7 linked regions of the Kluyveromyces lactis genome follow. The protein of the gene in region 6 interacts with the protein of the main gene of each other region in a biochemical or structural test. Links are inferred from orthologs where the notes say so. Each region holds a gene or a part of one and is shown on either strand. Other genes may lie near its edges. The genes, in order: GTS1, OTU1, UBP2, CUE5, DDI1, UBI4 and SSM4.

Region 1 (2,995 bases), on a different chromosome or scaffold from region 6:
TTACAAGGGGGGGCGTTCTTATTTCTTATAAATGGTTTTTAAGGATCAAAACTTAGTTTGTAATAAGTCATTTTGAACTTTATATAGAAATAAAGAAACAAAGAAGGAAAGACAGATATATCGCAGAAAACGTACACAGTAAAGGCAGTGGAAAGACACTGGTGCTTGGTGGAACGGTTTTAAGAAAACGCTCGTTAAGTGCAAATAAGATATGATTGGTTATGAGTCAATGGGAGGTTTTTTTTTTGATGGTCAGTAAGATAATAGTGGTGATAGCTAGGTAGTAAGTAGATCGTGGATGTTCCGGATAAGAGTGTATAGCAGACGTTGTGAAACGTCAGAGGAGGAAGACAAAGTTAGATATTAGTTGTAGCGGTGTTTTGGTTTTAGCCATATTTACGTATTATATAGGCAAACATAGGTATGAGAGATTAAACCGTAGTGCGGTAGCAGATGTGCAGTTGCAGCTGCAGCTGCAAAGAAGGCCAAGGGATGATGATCTATTGGAATGGGGGGTAGAATTGTTGTTGGTACTGTTGTGGTTGTTGGTATTGCATTTGTTGTAACTGTTGTTGCTGCAGGAGCTGTTGCTGTTGCTGCTGTTGTAGCTGCTGTTGTTGTAGCAGTTGCTGTTGCTGCTGTTGTTGGTCCTGCTGTTGTTTTTGGAGATTCAGGATCTGTTGGTATTGTGGATTATCCGGTTTGATTTCTACGGCACTAGAATATAAATCTGGTCTTTGATACAGTGATAATAGTGTGTTCTTATCTATCGATGGTTGAGCAGTGAATTGAGGCTGTACCTGTTGGGTGAACTGAGGTTGTAATTGCTGTGTGAATTGGGGTTGCACTTGTTGTGTAAACTGAGGTTGAACCTGTTGTGTAAACTGAGGTTGAACTTGTTGTGCCAATGCTTGTACCTGGGCCTGCTGCATTGCCGCATAGGAGTTTTGATCTACATAAATTTGGCCGGTAGTTGGATCATAGTATTGTTGTACCCCATCGAATACTGCTGGGCGAGGTTCTGCCGATGCTGTACTAGGTAGGCTTGGTTCACTTGTTCCATCGAAAACGGCTTCTTGCACTTTGTTGTCCGGCCTTTTTGGAAGCGGAGGTCTGTCTCCTTCTCTTGATCTTGGTCTACTGCTGGCAGATGAGGCAGAACGGTTTCTTCTGGACCCGGACGCAGATGATGGGCGGGATGACTTGTAGTCCAATTGTGACGAATCATCCTCTAGATTGAAATCTTCCACCTTGACAGCGGTATGTCTGAACTTACCCTTTAAATATTTATCCCTGATAAACATTTCAACGGCAGTACGATCCTCGTCACCGTCAAATGGGAAAGGTTCTTTCTTAGGGTTCCAAAAACTGCTGTTATGTTTGTTTCCTCCAAGATCGGCAACAGTTTGAACGTCACGCTTAGACCATCTATCAAGAGATAAAGATTTCACGATACTAGTAGCACCATCTTCTCTGCTGCCTAACACTTTCCTATGTACGGAAGCACACCGACCGCACAAGAATACACCCAAGTTCACTGAACAGTAGGTAGGGAATGGTGTCCCACATTCACCACATTTATTTGAATTCTCACCAGCGTTAAGCAAAAACTTTAAATCATGTTCTACAGATTCACCTCTTGATCGTCTCATTTTTGGTTTCCTCGCTTCAGTATCTCCTCAATAAACCTTACCTAAACTCGACTAGTCCAATTTGGGACCCCTATTTGATATAAACGTAATTCTAGCGTTGGGTCTTTATAATCTTATAATATGAAGTATTTTTTTTTATTTTCAATATCCGTTCTTCACTTTCACCATTTTATGCTTCGTTCATTCATAGAACTTCTGTTCCTGTTCGGAATTTCAACCGCATAGAATATTTCAAGAGCTATTTTTGTTCAACAAACGTAAGTCTATTGGAAGCAGTCAGTACGATATACCATCTTGGATACCTTTTGAATAATGACGTGATAGACAGGCTTAAGCTATGTACTATCATATTGCCTCAGGAGAGTTTATTCTCACGTGGTCTGTCATTTAGCCGGAGAATAGGATCTATTTTAATGTTTCGTATATAGCAGCTAACCGCCTCCCCAATTATAAGCAACCATGGCTATTAATATGGCATCTCTGAATTGATTCAATTACTCTCGATTCTGATACTTCTTTCACCAAAATATGTTACTGTTTATAAATTTCCCCATGGAAAATGACATTTCGTCTTCTTTTATATATTTTTATCAAGGTTCAGCGGTTAAAAACAAACAGAAGAAGAACCATCATCACATCAAAGACATCAGCTTCAATTAAGTCTATTAAAAGGTTCAAATAATTCAACATGGCCCCAGGTAAGAATACCGTTTCGCTTGCCGAGAAAAAAGCACGTATCCTAAGGTTTTTCCAAGAAGAACATACCGTATACAACATGAAGGAATTAGAGAAATATATCCCCAAGAAATGTGGCATATCTTCCATGTTAGTGAAGGTATTAGTACAAAAGATGATTGATGAAGATGGATTGATCAGTGTGGAAAAGTGTGGGAACATTAACGTGTATTGGTCTTTCAAAAATCAGATGCAAAATAAGTTGAATAGCGACGCCAGTAACATAGAGAAAAGAATAGAGCATGAGAAAAGTGAAATTGCTCGGTGTCAGGAATTGTATCAGAAGGAAATTCAAGGCCAGAGGAGTGATACGTTGAAGAATAGACGCGGCTGGAAAAGAAGTGCACAGCTAAGTAAATTGAAAGAGGTTCAAAAGACAATTCGTGAATTGAACTCCAAATATGAAGAATTATCCAAAAATAACTGGACTCCACAGCGCATCAAACAGGAGAAACATAATTTGTTTGAAAAGGCAAGTTTTGCTGTAGGTCTTGCAGATAACATTGATTGCATCACTGGGCATATCTCATCTACGTATTGTGTTCAAATGTCTGATTTGAAAGTTGAGTTGGAGCTTCCTAATGAATTCAATCAATTTGAAACAATAC
Region 2 (2,847 bases), on a different chromosome or scaffold from region 6:
TTTCGAAACTGCATATGCCTTAAAGACTCATTTGAAGACTAAAATCCATAAGAGAAGGGTGAAGGAATTGAAAGGTGTTCCATACACTCAACAGGTAGCAGATGCTGCTGTTGGGTGTGGTGTGAACTCGTTCTTGGCTAGAGTAGAGCAGATCAAATCTCAAATTGGTCCTCAAAAGGAGGAAAACGAAAAGATATTAACCTCACATCTTGATACCACTTTGGCCAACGTCAGCACAACAGAATCCACTTTGCCATACCTTGATGGTGCAGTACAGGAACAAGCACAGCAAGAAGCTGTAGTTGCTGAAGGGGAAATTCAAATGGCTGATTAGATGCAGGAAAACATTTTCACTTCCTGTGCTTTTTCTTCAATGTATATTATCATTTAACACAAGAGAAATACACCGAAAGTGCAATTATATAAACTGGTAGATATACAGACGCTCATATATTAAGTGCTATTTCTTTCTTCAATATTATTCAATGGTTATATTTGTTTTATTTTTGCCTAAAATCAACATGACCAGTTTTCTCAGCGTGCTTGCTCACCTCTCGTTCTCCAATCAAGGTGGTGCCACAAGTATTGCATAAAATTGAATCTCTTGCAGTATTGAAAGACTTCCCCTCTCTTTTCATCTTCTTCGCGATCTCCTGTGTTTTTTGTAAAAGGAATTCAGTATCTTTCTCTCCGATGTCAAATACAGTTTGATGCTGAGTTCCATCAAATATCTCTACCGTATCATAATGAACTCCGTTATATGCTATAATAATAAATTTATCGTATAAATCCTCGTTGAATTTCTCGAATTTACGTGCATCCACATCGAGCACGTATATCGCATACTGAAAATGTTTCGATAATATTGCAATCTCGATACCACCTCCCCATGAAGAATGTTTCATTATCCACTCACTGTATTCATGATTCGGCCTGCCAAGAATAGCATCTGAATATTCAAATGGGTCTCTCCGGACTTCTGACGCCACAACTCCCCGTAGTTCTGATGACAGTGAAATGTTCTTGTAGACAGCATAGGATATAGCATGGAATAGACACGAATTGTCATCGGGCACTTCATGGAGTTGTAGTGCTCTAGTTGAATCTATCTGTACACTTTCAGATTTACCAGTGGGCTTCTTTTTCACTTCTTTATTGGGTAGTGTATTTGCTTTACTGGCATTAATACTTGGTTGTGTTCTGGTGGCAATAGCTTCATCGGCTTTACTCAGGCTCACTATGATCCGTTCCCCATTGCATATTCCTAGCTCTTCAAGTGTCTTAGCCTCATTCCCCTGAAAAAGTATACTCTGAGGTGGGAATCCGTACCGCATACTCTGCAATGATAGATCATCTTCATATGAGGACAGAATGAGTCCCTGAAATGTTTCCAAATCACATTCGGCTTCGACAGTTAAAACTTTGTCGCTCTTCCCAGAAATAGATACCTTGACCCTCATCTGCGAATAGGAAATATATTAAGTCTCGTTTAGCGGTGGTTATTCGACAGATATATATGGAAATGCTATGGCTATCCTCTTGGGGATGGATAGATAGTCTGTTGTTCTATCCGATTTTCCCCTTATTGCTTAGGCACTTAGAGGATTCCAAAAACAGATCACATGCTCAAGTGAAATTAACCCGTACATCACAGCAAACATTTTTCTTTGCATGCAAGAACAGTAAACGTCAAAACCACAACGAGATGAGATGAGATGACAGGTTGAGTGCATGAAGAAATAATGGAACTTTTAGTTTATTGGCACCAGTGGTGGATCAGCTGCTGTTGGGCAAGCGTTGTGTCAGCTTGAGTTATAGATGCGATTTGGAAAATAGGAGAAGAACCCGTTAAACTGAATAATCTTTTTAAATCCCAGCTTTTTCCTTTTACTCGAAAGAATATACGGTACCCGAATTAATTAAACACTGCTACTCCATCTGATACAATGAAATCCAGTTCACACTTAAAGCAAGAAGCTCTTAATTATAGATTCAATTCAAATGTGCCTCTGAAATTGTATCTGACAACTTGCATTAGCATTGTCGAGGAAGCTCAAAATAGTGCCAGGTGCAATAATATGGAGCGCGCATATCTTCTTTATATTAGATACTTAGATCTTTGTCTGAATAGACTTGTGCATCATTCAGAAGTTAACACATCAGTGGAATCGTTATACAAAAGAGAATACTTCCAACTGCTGAAGTTGGAAGTCCCTGCTATCATGAAGATTACTGAGGAATTGAAAATCAAAATAGATGCAAGATACAAGTCATTGGCAAACAATGTTGCGACATCGACCTACGTGAGATCGCCGGCTGTCATGACGACAAATCCTTCGGATGAAATTAATCTTCCGAGTTCCTTTGATGAACAAAAATTCAACCAATCTATAAGTTGGTTTAATCACAGTTCAAAGCATTTTTCAGCACAGTCAGACTCTAACAATGAATATCCCGAATTACCAGAACTCAATGCGACATCCACGTCGGTCACATATACCATGCCAGCATTATAGATTTATCTTTACTAATTTAGCATCTCCTTGCATATAGTCACCTATACACTAATTTTACCTTGTTTTCCGCGTTTAACATTTACGCATTTCAGTTTCATCATCAGTCATTACAGATATTCATAAATGTTACAAATACTATGAGAAAAATGTTATTACCTTTGAACTAGATACCAGATACAGTGTTTCGGATGATGAAGACTAGAACCTCTCATTTCATGTTAGGGTCATATCTTTACTAAACTGTCATTCCTCGTTGGACATTGGAAGTTCGTTGTAAACATTGAGTATATCTTTAATCTCCTCAATCACGGAAGCACTATTCGTGTTCATC
Region 3 (3,978 bases), about 150 kb from region 6:
CAATGGATCCATTATTATCCTTGTCAAACACGCTAAACACATACGTAGCAAACTCATCTGGCGAGCCAAAGGGGAAAAATTGTTTGTATATCTTGATGAACTCTTCTCTAGTTAGCTGGCCGTTCGGGCAATCCCGTAGAAACCCTTTGTGCCACTGTTGGATCTCTCTGCGATCGAAATACGTAGATTGCTTCAAACTGGTCAAATCATTCTTTGAAAGTGTAGACGTTTTATTTCCCATCTTATTATTGTTATTCCATGGATAGTATATATCTTAACACTTACTGTGATCAAACGCCACTATAAGCTACCTATGATCAGTTTCGGAAAAGATATTGACTAGACCCTGAAGCTCTTCCTCCCTAAATTTTTCAACTCCTCATGCAACATCTTTTATATTGGTTTTTTTTTAATTATGTTTTTCTCTCTTCTGCAGTTTACAGATTTCGTTGTAGGAAAGTGGCTTGTGAAGTCCGTCATAGATGATTCTCTAAAAGTAACGATAGAAACAGTGACAGAGATGACCGTTCCTCTTCTACTTTGCTTGTTGGTGTTCAAGTAACGACTACTAAAATTCTTCAGATGCTCACTATGAAGCGGTGCCACTGATCGAACTATTTTTCCTCTTTTTAACTCAACGACTGCGTTTTAAAGTTCTGGATTTTATGAACCTATTTCAACATTCAAAGGTTGAATAGGTTACATTGAGTTATAAATTATAGTTTACGTAGTACTCAGAAAAACAAGTTGTAAAGCTGTTTCAGTCTTTTCGGAATAATAGCAATGCTGTTACATCAAACAGGGCATAGGTAATTTGAATAGAGGCCCTTTTTGACTCATTTTAATGCCCTTTGTACCGCCATAAATGCGTTTAAATTTAAAACTGTGAGTATAAATCCGTACACCACACACTCATTGTGGTTCTGTCTACAGATTTCCACTATTGACAAATTTTAAAGGGTAACAAAAGAATTAAGTAGAATCAGAATAGTAATTGCATTAAATTTTAAGGAAAACTAGATCTTCAATCCTTTGGCAAATGCATAATTAAAAATATCTATTTGCCACTTCTAGGCTCGTTCTAATACTCCCAGTGATTCAATTCTGATACATTTGACACGCTACAGTATATTGTGACAATTTGAGGATAGCTTGGCAGAGAATAGAATCTCGAATTGATGATGGCTTCACAAGAACCAGCTTTAGAATTGAATGGCGAACAGAGAGATTCTGTTTCGGAAACAGCAGAAGTACTGAGATCTAAGTCGTTGGAATCATTTTCAGATTTAGTAGACGATGGTAAGACGCTTTTGTACGGAGATATTTCGAAAAGTTTTCCGTTCAAAACATGCGATCGAATTTTAGATGACATTAGGATTTCACCATGGTTCTTGAAGAAGTTTGGTTCATCTGTGATGAAACAACCAATGCTTCAGTACTCGAGGGAAAGACAGCAATTGCAACCGTGGAACCTAGTGCATTTAATTGACCAGGTTAATTTGAGAAGCAGATATGATTATGATTCAATGACTTGTCCAGGGAAGAATACCATCAGTGTTATGTTCGCATTGCTGGTAGATCCGAATTTTACTCCTAATGACTTTGATGACATTGACAAGTTTCCTGAATACTTCTTTCATTTGAAGATTACTGTGAAAAGGAGATCATACTTGGAAAATTTCAATAGACACGTTGGGATAACTCATTATCATGTTTTAGAGCCTGAATCTTTACATCCATTCGACAAAAGGGATATCTTTATAATGGAAGAGAAAGACTGTAGATTAGTAGACCAAAGTATATTTGTTTCTGCTGATACTAATAAACTTATACTTGTTGAGATAATAAAACCAGAATTTAATTCAGAGAACCTAGCTGAATATCGAACAGCAAAAATTGAGGAAAGATATAAAAATGCATGTCAAGAATTTGATTTATTGAACCCGGACGATATTCCTAGCCAAGCCGAGTGTTTGAAAACTCTTTTCATGATATTTAAGAACCCATTACAGAGGAAATCTGCTAATAGTGAGTTTAAGATTATTTCCAGGGATAGTGTTGCACTCAACTCACAAATTAATACTGACTGGTTAACGACAATGTTTGATTTCAGTTTGCAGAAGACCGCTGTAGAAGATAATGTCCAATCTGGAGAGGAATATAAGCCACCAGATTTAGTTGATTATATCACAGATTTTAAGGTCAGAGGGATTAGAGAGGCGTATACCAGAAAATCCATGGAGGTTGTTTTAATTGGTAAGCAGTCGATGCTACTTGAAAATGAACTTGGTACTGAAAAGAAGACAGTGGCAAAGTGCTTTTCTAATCAACATTTTAGTGCCAGTCACACATGGTGGTTCAATATTTTGAACCACCAACACATTGAACCATTCCCCTACGACATAAATTACCATTTTATTAACCTATCTGTTGCTTTTAAGTACATCGATAAGGATATCATTAAAAACTATGAAACTCAAATTGCACTTGATCAGGAAAACATCAGCCATTATTTTGATGCTCTCCAATATGTAACAAACGCAAAGGGTAGTTACCAGCTTATTGCTTACTGTGGAAAACAAGATGTTGTTGGGTATGAAGATTTGAATAATGCATTACAGGTATTTGGTTTAGATCCAACTGACATTGACGCAAGCCTCCTTGATGCCAATACGATGATTGAATATTACAATTCTCATCTATTAAGGAGCTCTGATAATCAAAGAAAAGATCTAAGAAATGCCCTACGTGTGCTAGGAAAATATTTAGGTAGTCAAAAGATGTTGTTTTTGGTGGAGTATGAACCATATTATAATGTACAACAAGCTTACACTCTTTTAAAGGTAGACGAGACAGTAGATGATGATATTATCCAAACTGCATATACGATCAATATTGCTGATGCCCCTGGTTTGAAAAAAGATTATGATCGGGCGATTTTTACAATAGCACTAGATAGGCGCTCAATATTTCTTTTGAATGTCTTGACAGATGAATGTCCAGAATTTGCGCAATATTACAACTGCACTGACATATCATACGATGAAGCATTGAACATCATTGAAATTGACATGAATGCAAGCGACGATGTCATCCTTGAAGTTTTTCAAAAGAAATGGAGTCACGGAATTATGACAGGTCCTGATTATCTATTGAAGTTGAAAATGGCCCTTCAGAATATTGGTTTTACTAGAAATAGTAAACTTATCAACCACTTTTTAGACACCGGTATTGTGGACGTAAGTTGTCTTCCTGTTGCTACATGGCCAGCTGGAATCAATAATGTGGGAAATACATGCTACCTAAACTCACTACTTCAATTCTTTTTCACTATCAAACCTCTACGTGATTTTATTTTGAATTATGATGATGACTCTGCTAAATTACTGGATGCGTCTGAATATCACTCTAGAAGAAGAATTGGAGGCAGGGAGGTCAGCAAACAAGAAGAGCTTAGATCGGTCCAGTTTGTCTACCATCTTCGTGATTTGTTCAATGACATGATCCACACAAACAGTAGATGCGTCACGCCCACAAAAGAGTTGGTCTACTTAGCCTTTGCTCCGAGTAATGTCGAGGTGGAGTTCGGTGACGATACTGTTGCCCAGAAAGAACTCATCGACTTAACAACTGACGTCGTCGAAGACCCCACTGATACTACTCGTCACCTAGCGTCTTGTGATGATGATATCATAATGTGCCAGAGCCCGGTTGCGCTCCCCGAACATAAAACATCGTCAGAAGCAGGAACACAGCAATATTCCGTCCAAGTTGCTAAAATCAGTGCGGACCAACTTGAAAATACATTGGAGATCGGAAGACAACAAGATGTTACAGAATGTATAGGTAACGTCTTGGCTCAGCTTGAGATTGCTTCAGAACCTTTGAGCTTGGAAGACGACTTGGAACAGAATGATCTTGTCAAACAGTTGTTTTACGGTAGAATTAAACAGGACTTGATACCAGTCAATGATGAGG
Region 4 (3,148 bases), on a different chromosome or scaffold from region 6:
TTTAGTAACAGGGAAAAACTGAAAATTTTATTGGTCTTTCCTATATAAGAGGATGAGATGATGTCCTTCATAAGAAGTAGCCGAGTTTCCTCTACGTGGCTGGAACATTGAACGAACAGGAATAAGTGAAGGGTAGGTGCCACACATATTCTTGTCTCTGAATACGTTCAGTTGTGATGGTTCAATTACATCTTGATTTGTGTGTTTTTTTATCTTTTGAAGGATCAAAAGAATCATTACTGAATGTGGATTCATGTAAAATGTCTTACCTAACTAAACACAGGTATCCCCTCGAGATGATGAGATATATCATTATTAACCTTATCTACATTATCTGAAAGTTTAAATTTCAATTGAAGATAAACATGTACAACAATAGCTGAATTTTTTTAAAATACTCGATGTGGTGACAACTGTGTTCTGGAAGTAGTAAATATACGTCTTGTTGCTTGAGGAAATAATATTTAAGTAGTGGTCAGTTGTACAAACACAACCTGCGATTAAATATCCAAATCAGAATCTGTGATAATATCTTGATCTTCTAACGTGATTGGCCCTTCTGTGTTCTTATTGCTTGCAGTTGGAGTTACAAGCTTTACATCGGATTTTTCTTCGGTTGAGGCAGTTTTGTCCGTGCTTGTGTTTAATTTAGAAGTGGGTGTGGATCTTGTTGGAGATTCACTGTGCGGTGCCAAGGTTTTCAAAGGAGAACGGTTATTCTTACCCCTTACTTGTTCTGGAGTGTCTATGTATGTTGTCTCTGCTACGACTTTCTTGGCCCTTGATGGTAATTGGGGTGGGATATCGTCATCAGATCCAAAATCTAGATCATCGTTGTGCAATGAGATCCCAGCATTTTGTAATTTCGTTTGGCCATCGACGTTGTCATTGCCATCACGGTAACGATCTCCGAAGGAGTTAAACCTCGACTGAGAATATTTTGGACGGGATTCGGAATAATTTGGATCGTCATCCACCAGATTCTTGGTGATGCCACTGAACCATGTACTGATCTTTTTACCAGTTTCCTGGATATTACGGTTCAAATTTTCACGAATCTGGGGTAACTCCTTATCGACGAAATTACTGAACACATCGTCTTCACCGTCATCTTCGAAATTGTCATAGCCGTCAGAATCACGTCTTCCCTTTGGTGGAATTGCACCTGCTCCGTACCTCCTCTCGTAATCACGTTCACGTTGTCTGATTCTACGCTCGCGTGCGGTTCTCTCCGAAGCGCTATTGCCATGTTTGTTGAATTTCTTATCCAATTGACGAGCCAATTCTTCGTCCTGCTCTAACTGCGTTTTTGGCTCACGTCTTACACCACGAGTTGGCGCTTGCACCGGTCTAGTTGGTAATGGAGCCTCTTTTTCAAAGTCAGGGTCCGATATGAATAAAAGAGCGTTGAAAGCAGGATCCAACTGGCCCTGAGAAGCAATTAACACTGCCTTCACATATTTCTCCTCAATGTTTGGGAACGCTTCCTTCAATTGTTTTAACATAGGATTTTCCTTTTCACTCTGTTCTTCTGGAGAAACCGATTTTCTTACAGGCAAGGGAGGTGCTGAATCGTCCTCGTCCTCCTGACCGTGATCTTGCCCTTCCTCCTGTTTTTCAGCTTTTTTCACGTTCTCTGTTTCGGTTTCAGTGTCTGCTGGAACTTCTGCTTCTACATTTGAAGCCTTAGTTGCCGCTTCTTCAACTGTTTCCTTGACATCTTCGATCTTCTTGTCTTCATTAGAATCAACGTCAATTGCGACGTCTTCAACTTTGTCACTCATGGTTATATTAGATCTTTCTAATCAAAAAGAATTTGCACCTGTAATTTATCTTCTTCTAATATCCTGGTTGGTTCTGTAATTGAATATTGGCGAGATTCTGCACGGATATGTTCTAATAGGGGTTCTGGTTTTGCAGTCCTAAAGAATCTATATATATTCTTCCTATAATTCCTATTTCTTTCCCACATCATCCTGTCCATTCGGTTATCCGGGTAAGGGCCTTATTTTTTTTCACTTTTTCATCTCATCACGTCAAAGTTGAAGAAAATAGTTTGGACTATATAAAGAGGAAGACTTTAAAGAGGTGCTTGTAATCTCTCTTAATACTATATCACTCTGTCATTTTACCTTTATAGATCTTGATATATTTGTTTTTTTTTCCTAACTCCTCGGAATCTTATTATTCTCTGTTTAGATAAGAACTTGGCGATCAGGGGTCCTTCTAACCTGATACATCGTCGAGCGTGGACAACAGAGAGAAATTAGATGCCGTTGGTTAAAAAAAACTTTCTGGCATATAGTTTAACATAGGGCTGAATTCGTGCCGGCTTGCTGGTTCGTATGAACTGGATGTTTTGCATCCAGGCTCTTAAGACTCGAAAATTTTGGGATGGGTTTCTAAGATCGCTCTATGTTTCACGCACATTTTCACTTAAGCCTATTTTTTTACCGTAGATCACTCATAAACGAATTGTAAGGCGTTACTTAATAAATACATATAGTGTGGACATGTCATGTATCATGCCTTGTTCTTCATGTTTCTTAACTTGTCCATAACTTGGGCTCTGGTCCAACAACCTTGAGAATCTCCGACTTGTCTTCTAACAATTGGATCATCAAGTCTCATAAAGGGATTGAATGATAGTTCATCGGCAATGGTAAAGTGACCAGTGGTGACTTCGTGTTCCTTGGTAAAAGATTCCAATTTATTGAAATGGTCGTTATCGCTTTTCTTCAAGTATATGTAATTGCGGATGAAACTTACGTTTCCTGCAGTATACTCATGACCTGGATATACTTTCACATTCTTCCAATTGGAAGTATCTCCTGTATTCCCTAGTAGTCTGAAGTTCAATGCATCGTCCATTTCTTCAGCAGTTCCTTCGAAAAACCTCCCACATCCACCAGTGAACAAAGTGTCACCGGTGAAGATTGCTTGTTCTTTGGTTTCAGGGTCACGCACGTAGTAACAAGTGGAATCTTGGGTATGGCAAGGTGTTCTAATACACAAGATTTTCAAGTTCCCCAAGGTGTATTCATGTAAGTTATCTGGGATATCATTCGCAATTGGAGAACGTTGAGAACCGGCAATGACTCGAGATATATTATTGCCCTTTTCATTCAAGGCTGCAAGTGTTGACACA
Region 5 (3,220 bases), about 840 kb from region 6:
GTACTGCTCATGGTATGATGGGTCTTGCCACTTTACAAGTCACTCTAGGTATTTTTACCTTGTTATATTTGGTTCCAATCCCTCTAGCTTCTGCTCACCAAGCTGGTGCCTTGGCATTATTGACAGGTTCATTGTTGTTTGCTTCTCAATTGAGAAAACCAAGAGCCGCAATTAGAATCCTCACCGGTGGACTCTATACACAACAGCAAAAGGCCTCTTCTAAAATCTTAACTGAGGCTTCCAAACTTGCGAAGTGATCTTGGGAACTACGAATGGATCCTTTTTTTTCAATTATTTTCTTGTTTGTCCCCTTTACTTCCTATTTATTATAAACACTGGGCAGCACATTAAATGTTATCTTGTAAATATATATACTCAAAAGTTGCTACCAGTGAACTCCTACCTTACTTTAAAGTGTACTGTTTATACACAGCAATTACAATGCCTCTAATTATTACTTCGACATAAACCTTTTCTCATTATTGATGACAACTTCCATGTTAGTATCCGACATTCTCCAAAGAACGAACATAAATAACGTTCTATGGGGGCTAAATAAATCACCACAGAGCTCAACCACGTCTTCATCGTGGATTTTCCACTTGAAACTCTTGTGCTTTATTTTTGATTTCTTGATAAGAGTCCGCTTGCTGTGAAGCTTCTTTAAGATCTCTGGTCGTTGTTCCAAGTACCTTGAACATCCCCTTGCGATTCCCAAATCTTCAGCTGCAAATACATTTAAGCGATGTAAACCTGTAACTAAAAACATCTTCGCTGACCACGGTCCGATACCCTTGATATTTGCGACTAGCTCTTCGATGATTTTATCATCGTCTGCAAAGGCAAAGAGATCTTTTATAGAATCCTCGTTATTGAAAAAATATCCAACCAAGGACTCAATATACATCAGCTTCCTTTGAGATAACCCACATTCCTTAAAAGCTTGTTTCTTCTTCGAGTCTTGGAATGTTTCGTGCAGTGTCTGATAATTAGGAAAAGTTCCATCAAACATATCTACGATCCTGCCTCGAATATTCTTCGCAGCTGCACCACTGATCTGCTGTGAAATGATGCTACCTGCCAATTTATTAAAATAAAGGTCCATCGAATCCTTGGCCACATTTTCCTTGAGAAACATGGTGAAAGGACTATGCTCAATGATTTCTTTTAATGTGGGGTCAATAGTTAAGATATGTTCTATTCCATCACGGAATGAATCAATGTGCTGATCCAGATATTCTTGGTCCACATCCACCTTGAGGATATCATCCCTTGTCCTTTTCATTTCAATATAGCCTTGGCGACACTTTTGTCCGTTCTTTCTTTCTTTACTTTCGAGAAGTTGTTTTAAGGTTCTCTGACATATAAGATTCCTTTATTAATCAAGATCAACTTTAATTATCAATTATCACTTTATTCAATGGAAAATAAACACTAAAACTGAAAGTTACCATTACTAGGCAACCGTATCAGAGATGAACATCACCGTCACTTATGAGCACTCTGATGATGTCCTTGGACCTTTTGAATTGAGTGAAGATATGTCGCTTATCGACCTTTTCGCATTGATAGACTTTAAAGAGGAATCTCAGATCATATTTCACAACATGAAGCAACTTGACACTAAGAACACGAATATAACTTTGAAAGAGGCTGGCTTACAAAACCATGATATGCTTTTGATAAAACCTAAGAATCCCGCTAGTTCCCAGGCAGCTTTCGGTCAACCTCAGGAGATCGATTTGACGGATGAACAGTACATTGAACAGTTCAGGACTTTCCTATTAGAGAATCCAAGTATGGCTCAAGAGATGGGTCTTCCAAACTTAGAACATATGATAAATAATAAAACCCAATTTCATCAACTACTAGGTCCGGTGTTACTTTCCAGACGTGGTGAAAGATCAAATAACCCATTCGGTATCCCAAATTCTGAATACTCAAGATTAATGAGCAACCCTGATGATCCTGTGAATCAAGCACGGATTTCGGAGTTGACCAACCAACATGAGATTGATGAGCAATTACGATATGCGATGGAATATACTCCGGAGTCTTTTACCCAAGTGTCAATGTTGTATATAAAATTAGAAATCAATGGCCACCCAGTCAAAGCGTTCGTTGATTCTGGTGCTCAACAGACTATAATGTCAACAAAATTGGCAGAAAGAACAGGGTTGACCTCTCTAATTGATAAAAGGTTCAGTGGTATAGCTCAGGGTGTTGGTACGGGCAAAATTCTCGGGAGAATCCATACGACTCAAATCAAAATCCACGACGTGTTCTTGCCTTGTAGTTTTACCGTACTTGACACTCCAATGGAAATGTTGTTGGGTTTGGACATGTTAAGAAGACATCAGGCATCTATAGATTTGAAGAACAATGTATTGAGAATATCAGATGTTGAGACCCCATTCTTGCCTGAATCTGAAATTCCAAAGGACTCCCTTCATGCACTGACAACTCCAGCAGCTGACGAAGTAAGAAAGGCAGCGTTGAAGAGGGACTCATCTTCAGGAAAAAATGCTATGACTGGCGATGCAAACAAAGTCAAGCAGCCAAAGATTCCAAGTTCTACCACAAATCAAACTGTTCCATCGTTCGCAGAATCAGACATAAAAAAATTAGTGGATCTTGGTTTCTCTAGGAAAGAAGCTATCAATGCATTGAATAAAACTGGTGGAAACGTGGACTATGCAGCTTCCCTTTTGTTTCAATAAGCAGGTATTGACCCAAAACTCTGCGCGCAGACTATTCTCTCTATTAATACTGAAAGAGTATGTAATGTACACAAAGTAGTATCAGATAATATAACAATCAATCATCATGGAACCTAAGTGTTGGCAAAGGATCTTTTGAAGCGGATAGCTGCGGTGTTAGATCGAGGTTCTCATCGCTCTTTCCGTTCTGATGTTTCGCACCTTTATCCTGTTTCGAACCCGTGGCCCCATTGTGCTTAGATCTGACTATTATCCAAGACACTTTGTCCGAAGGTTTCACACCTTGAATATCTATCTCCAGATTGAAGTTCTCGATGAAGTTTCTTTCATGTATATTTATGCTAGACGTGTATGTCATGTACTCGTTGAATATCGATACAGTGCTCCAATAAGAGAGCTTTCGTAGACATGCTATGACTAGCGATGTGACTTCCGTGTTCGAGTTCGAACAATGGATGTAACAAGGATAATGGTTCTTGTCGATCAAAAACTTGATACAT
Region 6 (3,040 bases):
TCCTCAAATGATGTATCTCACATTTTCATTGATATCTGGAAATATGGCCACGCTCTATGCAACAAGAAAGAAGTTATTGAAAGTGTCAAGATAAAGCTGATAAGGTATGGTGGGCTATTGAAAGAAAAGTTCCCCCACACCAATACCATGGTCGACTTTGGCATTTTGGAGATTCTTAGAGTGGATGACTCCTCAGTATTGAAAGCTGAAGCTTTAAATATTGGAATATCTCAGTAGAAATTGCCAACGGATGATATATTACTATCTTCTACTATTTATAACATTATCATAGTTGTTATGTATCTCTGAAAATGTATATAATATATACAAGACCCTAAACTTTTTATCCAAAGAATGTAAGGAAAAAAAAAAAATGCAAAAAAAAAAAAAATTGAATTGAGTATAAATGATACAACGGCTTTGCGTGGTCTCAAGCTCGTTAATAAACTCCCTATCGAGTTTCACTCCAGTAATCGGAAATATGAAATAAATCTTTACCATTAGATGCCACCTCTTAATCTCAAGACAAGATGTAAAGTGGATTCCTTTTGGATGTTATAGTCAGACAAGGTTCTGCCATCTTCCAACTGCTTACCTGCAAAAATTAATCTTTGTTGGTCTGGAGGAATACCTTCTTTGTCTTGAATCTTAGACTTGACGTTATCGATGGTGTCGGAAGATTCGACTTCCAAAGTGATGGTCTTACCAGTCAAGGTTTTGACGAAAATTTGCATACCACCTCTTAATCTCAAGACAAGATGTAAAGTGGATTCCTTTTGGATGTTATAGTCAGACAAGGTTCTGCCATCTTCCAACTGCTTACCTGCAAAAATTAATCTTTGTTGGTCTGGAGGGATACCTTCTTTGTCTTGAATCTTAGACTTGACGTTATCGATGGTGTCGGAAGATTCGACTTCCAAAGTGATGGTCTTACCGGTTAAGGTTTTGACGAAAATTTGCATACCACCTCTTAATCTCAAAACAAGATGCAAAGTGGATTCTTTTTGGATGTTGTAATCGGACAAGGTTCTGCCATCTTCCAACTGCTTACCTGCAAAAATTAATCTTTGTTGGTCTGGAGGGATACCTTCTTTGTCTTGAATCTTAGACTTGACGTTATCGATGGTGTCGGAAGATTCGACTTCCAAAGTGATGGTCTTACCGGTTAAGGTTTTGACGAAAATTTGCATACCACCTCTTAATCTCAAAACAAGATGCAAAGTGGATTCTTTTTGGATGTTGTAATCGGACAAGGTTCTGCCATCTTCCAACTGCTTACCTGCAAAAATTAATCTTTGTTGGTCTGGAGGGATACCTTCTTTGTCTTGAATCTTAGACTTGACGTTATCGATGGTGTCGGAAGATTCGACTTCCAAAGTGATGGTCTTACCAGTCAAGGTTTTGACGAAAATTTGCATACCACCTCTTAATCTCAAGACAAGATGTAAAGTGGATTCCTTTTGGATGTTATAGTCAGACAAGGTTCTGCCATCTTCCAACTGCTTACCTGCAAAAATTAATCTTTGTTGGTCTGGAGGGATACCTTCTTTGTCTTGAATCTTCGATTTCACGTTATCGATGGTGTCAGAAGATTCAACTTCCAAAGTGATAGTCTTACCAGTTAAAGTCTTAACGAAAATTTGCATGTTTTCTCTTGATCTAGTTTTAAGGGGAATGAGAGGGGGGGGGGTAAATAATTTGGGGTGAAATAGTATAACCTTGAGTCAGTATCTTCTATGAGAGAAACTCTTGATGCTCCTTCTTAACCAATATGATGTTGTTAATAATATCAGGAAACAAACTGCCAAAATAACCCTTTTGTTTTTATATATACTCCCTTTTTTTTTTAAAAAAAAAGGAACTTGTTCGCTTATTTCTTTTATTTTATCTCCCTATCAGTTCTTACTAATAACGGAGAATATAGCACAAAAAATGAAAATAAGAACAATAATGATAGCTGCTATGCTGTCCAAACTTTCAGAATAGATATATGAATGCGATATAGGTAGTAATAGTATCTAACCCGAATAATATCTTAGAAAAAGATAAACGTATTTAGAGAATAAACGGGGGAAAGAACAATCAGAAGTGGCAAATACGAGAGAAAAAAAGGCGGCCGCCCAAGTGATCACTATTTATATAAAAGCATCCAGTGTAATCAGTTTCGCTCGGCCTAAGGTGGCCGTTTGAAAAGAAAAATTTCCCGAGAGGGAATTCGATGGAAAACCGGCAGTTTGGAATCTGTTACGTTGCAGCCATCTCTGTATTTCAGCCTTGTATCTTTAACTGTTTGCAATGAATCTTTTCTCCGGCTTACAGATCGCCATGACTTGAGGTTTATGATTGCATGACGAAGAGCGGGGATATATGGAATGAACTGCTAACTTTGATTGTTCAGAGTAAAGAGCATACCGCTTTGTATCCACTGATACCTTCTGCAGTACAGTGTGTATATGCAGAGGTAACCATGGAAACTCATGGAACAATGAAGTTTATCCTTTTTTTTTAGACTTGCGGGGAGAATCTAAGATACAGACAGACGAAAAAAGTGACTCGAAGTCATCCACGTGATTAAATCAGGGTAACATACATCATATTTTATCTGCCTGGCTTCTCCTAAATTCATTCTTGACCTTTCAGATGCTCCCGGAACATACCCAGGCCAAATATCTCTGTCATTGAGGTTCCTGGCGGGATAATTCGGACTGCCCAGAATCTCTTCGATATTACTTGTCTTATAGTCCTAGATGACACTTTTTTTTCGACTCTTTTTATGATAGCGGTGTTCTTAACGCCTTTGTCGTATACTCAGGTGACACTTTCCATCATATTGAGCTGTATGGTCTTTCTCCATTCAGCATCCGAGGAAAGGGACTTCATTAAGTAAGGAGTCCAAGAAGTTCTCTGATAGGCATGTAGGCTGCCGTAGGCGATTGAGCGGCATTTAATTTAGTCGAATTTAGAAGAAAATGCAACAATTTCTGTACTTTTTTCTCGTATCGATAGTGAAAAGGGGAGACAGCACAAACAAAAACAGGAA
Region 7 (3,970 bases), on a different chromosome or scaffold from region 6:
ATCTATAAAGACATCTTGACTGATCAAACTATTCTTCAAAGTTTTTTAGTATCCTTCCTCTTGCATACACTTCGTCTCTCACACTTTGAGATAAAGAATTGTAAAGCGACTTGGATAAAATTGAGCTCACAGTTAGGAACGCCGAGGAAATCGTCACTACATCAACGTAGTAGAATGCCTTTTGAAATGTAGTCATAAGGGAATGATCTGCCGAGACAGAAGGCTGTATGAAAATGAAATAAACAAATGGTGCCCATGAAGAGGTGTAAACTTGTTTGTGGGTAAGGAATTCAAACATAGAAAAACTATATTGCAGAGCAAAAGGTACCGCAATCATTGCAACGAGGTACACAAAGCATATATCCGTGACCCTAATGAGTAATCTTCTGAATCCTAATGTTTTATTCCGCTTCAAACTGCACTGTACCGCGATGTACGCCACTGCTGCTACTTGACAAAACAATAGAGCAGCTATTAATGAGTAAGCTGAATAGCCGCTGTATTCTGATTTTGATGCGAGGTTCGAAAGGAATGGAACAAACGATATATCAGGGCTTGTGTTTTCGAGAACGTCGCCTTTCCAGTAGAAATCTTTGAAGTAGGTGAATATGAAGACCGAATGATAATTGATATTCAACTTGAAAATGATTGGCATAAAGTAGAATGTAAAGACTGGATACACCATTGTTACAAAGCCTTTGATCAAGTTCCAAACATCACCTTCAGCAATTTCCGGTACTCTAAATTCATTGGCTACTGGATTTTCATCATTTTCGGGAATATTATCATCATTGTGAACTATATGCTGATGATTATCGTCGTTTGGACCGTTATTTGGAACATCCCCATTGTGTTCGGCATTAACCTCCAATATTCTGTCATTTAGATGGATATTATTTAATAGATGTGCGTGGTAGGATGACAAAGCGAGAGACAAAAGTATCATACCAGAAGAAACGGAAAGAAGATTTAATGGTTTTACACTTTCATAGAGTTCATTTTGAAATTTCATTGCTGGGGGGATAACCGCATTCAACAATAATTGCAATCCAGTGATAATGGGAAGCCCAGCAAAATTTGAGATTAATAACACAGCAGTAAACAAAAGGGAAGCAAAGATCCATATGAAGACAATTAACAGCGAATAAGTGAAAGTAAAATGCGGAGGGACATAAACTACCTTATATTCATCAAATTCCGTGGGCTGTTTTTCTAGGTAGCCAAATTCTCCGGCATTTCGTTTCTGTCTTTCTTTGATTTTTTCGATATCCAATGGCTTTAGAAGTTTGTCATCCTTAGTAACTGGGACGAACAACAATTGTGCATATTTTTTTGATATTATGTCGCTCGCAGGTACGCGCATCATGGTGCCATCGGGGACAAAATATGCGTGAACATCAGGAATAGTTTTGAAAAGAGTATAGGTTTCATCGAGCGATTTTGGATGAGAGTATAATTCTAGGTTGGACAGTTTTGCCTTGTTTGGGACGAACCATTTATAGTAAAAGTTCCTATAAATAACATGTCCTCTCTCAGTTGGTGAATCTTTTCCTAAGATGAAAGAGGAAAGTCTTAGTTTTCTGCAGCATATATTGAATACAAAGACCCAATATTGTCTAACATAAGCATCAATAACTCTATTCTTCGAGAGAATGAGATACGTTCCAGCAATGACTGCAATAGAAAACATAGAATTTGGTTTTATGAGAGTTGACAATCCATGCTTCATAGGTAAAAGTTCCGAATGTAAAATGTAAGGAAACAAAAGTCTCGTATGAAATCCAAAACCTACTAAAATGAATGCTGTATAGATTGCCATCGACAATGCAAGTCTGGAGAGTTGAAGTTTCATTGGGTATATCAAAGAATCCTGTAATAGCTTAATATTAGGATCATCTGGTGATCTTATGAAGAAAAGAACACCCGGTCTGATAATATATTGTCTTACCATGCCGACATATTGAGCAAAATGATACATATAAACAGTACCAATCGCCCAATAAATAATAAATGTCATAGGCGGCCAAAAGGAACAAAAACTCGGTACGAAAGTCAAGCTGCTCTGTGGTAATAATAGCGGTGAGATCAGTGACACATCAATCAAAAACCCCGCTAAAATCGGAAATCCGGCAAGTTCAAGTGTAAACAACCCTAGCACTTTCAATGTGCACTTGATGATATAGGAAAACTTGAAAATCGTTCTTTTCAAAGAATTCTTTAGAGGTAGCTTCTTGGAATGCCCTCTAGATAACAGTTCTGGTATACAGCAACAAAGAACTATGAAAGTCGCATATGTACTGGCTGGCGCCAACATTCGTACCAGCATCGTATGTTTTGCTGTGCCTTTCATGTATCCCTGATAGTACGATACTATTGGCATTAAAACTGTCCCATTAATCCAATTTTCAACGTAGGATACCAAAGAAAAAGTTTCTATAAGCTTTTGATTGTATTCTGGGATATTTAACCTCTCTGCTGACACTATTACTCCATTCAGCATTATAATCACAACTCTAAAATAAATGAAATTCAACAGATATCCGACAAGTGTGGCTAAAGCGTATGAAATGAAAAGATATCCACCAATGACAGAAAAGACTAAGGAAAAGTAGCTCGGTAAATATTTGTAATCAAGATTTAAATTCAAGATAGCCGTAGGTTGACCATCTTCATTCTCTAGTACAACCGCTGGTTGAGCATTTATTCCATCTTCTTGTACTTCTCCTTCAACAGGCTGAGGTCGTCCGAGTTGAGCATCCAACCGCCCATCGAGTTCTCTTTGTGCAAAGTGTCTTTCCATAATGGATTGTGAATTAAAAGTACAGTCGATTAATAACTCAGCTAATTGGTAATGATATGAATATGTTGCAGAAGAAATATGATATTGTGATCAGAAGAAAAGAGTAATGCAGGGATCTAATGCGGAAAACTCAAGTTGAAGATTCAGTTTCTATGATATAATTATTCAACTTCAACAGCTATACAATTGTAGCAAAGATTAAATATTGTTAACCTGTTGTACTTAGTTGTGAAACGAGATCAGTCGACGATGTATATACTGATTGTCTGCGCCCATGTTGAAATTTCCTTCTTCAAATTTCAATTTCCATTATAAGCCGGGTAATACCAAATTCATCTTTGAGAATCTAATGGGCTAGCATGTTTTACTAAAGCAAGTGAATGATTTGATGGGACAACGAGGGAATTATATTGTATATAGAAGTTTATTTCGAACTGGAGTGAAGGCTGATGCAATGTTTCAATATGAAGATTATCAATATCGTAAATATTTAAATGGGGGATTATAGTTAGTTGGCAAGCTGAGGCTCATCATTATTTTCGTTTACGATGAAATTGTTCTGTTCTTGTTCGTCTTCTGAAGTATCATCTTCATTTGGATCGTCTTGTCGTTGTCTATTGAGGGCATTTATGAGCATGCTTATATCATTTGGATCCATATTTGGAAATCTTTCTCTTAATGACTGCATGGCCAGCTCTTGTTTTGAAAATCTTGGTCCAATCTTATGCAAGATCATCTTATTGAAAATTGGCTCTCTGACTACCATATCATATTGTAAATATGCGATAGCATGCACGATCAAAACCATCAGAATTTGTAACAACGAAAATCTGTAATTTATCACTAGTTGATATAAAATATCCGTAGTTGTTGGATTTTTTGGTATGTTTCTTTCAAAGCCATAAATCAAATTGATATACCATTTGTTATTTGAAGGAAATGAAAAATCATCCACAGTAGCCGTATATAGCTTCCCCCAGATATTCCAGGACAGGGGAATTCCAATGAAGAAAAGGAACGCAATCAATGTGAATTTGAAATAGTGATTTAATTTGCCAAAGATTTTGAAAACGCTATGTTTCAGAAGAAGTAGAAGTGGGATCTTCTCTGGCATTGATTCATCATACAAAGTTTGGAACGCGATTGGATGATTACAAATCGAACATACCA

Evidence for each region.
Region 1: the proteins of UBI4 (region 6) and GTS1 form a complex in vitro, tested with the Saccharomyces cerevisiae proteins (2 studies listed by BioGRID). The link is inferred for Kluyveromyces lactis from reciprocal best matches to the Saccharomyces cerevisiae genes UBI4 and GTS1.
Region 2: of the proteins of UBI4 (region 6) and OTU1, one has a biochemical effect on the other in vitro, tested with the Saccharomyces cerevisiae proteins (3 studies listed by BioGRID, with this or other methods). The link is inferred for Kluyveromyces lactis from reciprocal best matches to the Saccharomyces cerevisiae genes UBI4 and OTU1.
Region 3: of the proteins of UBI4 (region 6) and UBP2, one has a biochemical effect on the other in vitro, tested with the Saccharomyces cerevisiae proteins (3 studies listed by BioGRID, with this or other methods). The link is inferred for Kluyveromyces lactis from reciprocal best matches to the Saccharomyces cerevisiae genes UBI4 and UBP2.
Region 4: the proteins of UBI4 (region 6) and CUE5 form a complex in vitro, tested with the Saccharomyces cerevisiae proteins (5 studies listed by BioGRID). The link is inferred for Kluyveromyces lactis from reciprocal best matches to the Saccharomyces cerevisiae genes UBI4 and CUE5.
Region 5: the proteins of UBI4 (region 6) and DDI1 form a complex in vitro, tested with the Saccharomyces cerevisiae proteins (8 studies listed by BioGRID, with this or other methods). The link is inferred for Kluyveromyces lactis from reciprocal best matches to the Saccharomyces cerevisiae genes UBI4 and DDI1.
Region 7: of the proteins of UBI4 (region 6) and SSM4, one has a biochemical effect on the other in vitro, tested with the Saccharomyces cerevisiae proteins (2 studies listed by BioGRID). The link is inferred for Kluyveromyces lactis from reciprocal best matches to the Saccharomyces cerevisiae genes UBI4 and SSM4.

What each region holds. Positions count from the first base shown.
Region 1 is NC_006039.1:1,495,902-1,498,896, reverse strand, and holds GTS1 (Gts1p), read right to left. Parts: upstream 1,653-2,995; coding exon 501-1,652; downstream 1-500. Other genes in the region: MND1 (Mnd1p), read left to right, coding at 2,341-2,995. UniProt on the Saccharomyces cerevisiae protein: Appears to modulate the timing of budding to obtain an appropriate cell size independent of the DNA replication cycle. Transcription factor involved in both heat resistance and flocculation.
Region 2 is NC_006040.1:484,366-487,212, reverse strand, and holds OTU1 (ubiquitin-specific protease OTU1), read right to left. Parts: upstream 1,461-2,847; coding exon 501-1,460; downstream 1-500. Other genes in the region: BUD20 (Bud20p), read left to right, coding at 1-334; RFU1 (Rfu1p), read left to right, coding at 1,947-2,516; LAM6 (Lam6p), read right to left, coding at 2,760-2,847. UniProt on the Saccharomyces cerevisiae protein: Hydrolase that can remove conjugated ubiquitin from proteins and may therefore play an important regulatory role at the level of protein turnover by preventing degradation.
Region 3 is NC_006041.1:219,510-223,487, reverse strand, and holds the start of UBP2 (ubiquitin-specific protease UBP2), read left to right. Parts: upstream 1-1,178; coding exon 1,179-3,978. Other genes in the region: FRQ1 (frequenin), read right to left, coding at 1-241. UniProt on the Saccharomyces cerevisiae protein: Has an ATP-independent isopeptidase activity, cleaving at the C-terminus of the ubiquitin moiety in natural or engineered linear fusion proteins, irrespective of their size or the presence of an N-terminal extension to ubiquitin.
Region 4 is NC_006042.1:1,483,883-1,487,030, forward strand, and holds CUE5 (ubiquitin-binding protein CUE5), read right to left. Parts: upstream 1,785-3,148; coding exon 501-1,784; downstream 1-500. Other genes in the region: hydroxyacylglutathione hydrolase GLO4, read right to left, coding at 2,524-3,148. UniProt on the Saccharomyces cerevisiae protein: Connects the ubiquitin pathway to autophagy by functioning as a ubiquitin-ATG8 adapter and thus mediating autophagic clearance of ubiquitin conjugates under starvation conditions.
Region 5 is NC_006041.1:910,648-913,867, reverse strand, and holds DDI1 (Ddi1p), read left to right. Parts: upstream 1-1,475; coding exon 1,476-2,720; downstream 2,721-3,220. Other genes in the region: COX15 (Cox15p), read left to right, coding at 1-257; MAG1 (DNA-3-methyladenine glycosylase II), read right to left, coding at 455-1,285; OCA6 (protein-tyrosine-phosphatase), read right to left, coding at 2,818-3,220. UniProt on the Saccharomyces cerevisiae protein: Aspartic protease. Appears to act as negative regulator of constitutive exocytosis. May act at the level of secretory vesicle docking and fusion as a competitive inhibitor of SNARE assembly.
Region 6 is NC_006041.1:74,448-77,487, forward strand, and holds UBI4 (ubiquitin), read right to left. Parts: upstream 1,647-3,040; coding exon 501-1,646; downstream 1-500. Other genes in the region: ECM29 (Ecm29p), read left to right, coding at 1-237. UniProt on the Saccharomyces cerevisiae protein: Ubiquitin exists either covalently attached to another protein, or free (unanchored).
Region 7 is NC_006042.1:2,566,262-2,570,231, forward strand, and holds SSM4 (E3 ubiquitin-protein ligase SSM4), read right to left. Parts: upstream 2,801-3,970; coding exon 29-2,800; downstream 1-28. Other genes in the region: KLLA0_F27709g (uncharacterized protein), read right to left, coding at 3,309-3,970. UniProt on the Saccharomyces cerevisiae protein: E3 ubiquitin-protein ligase which accepts ubiquitin specifically from endoplasmic reticulum-associated UBC6 and UBC7 E2 ligases, and transfers it to substrates promoting their degradation.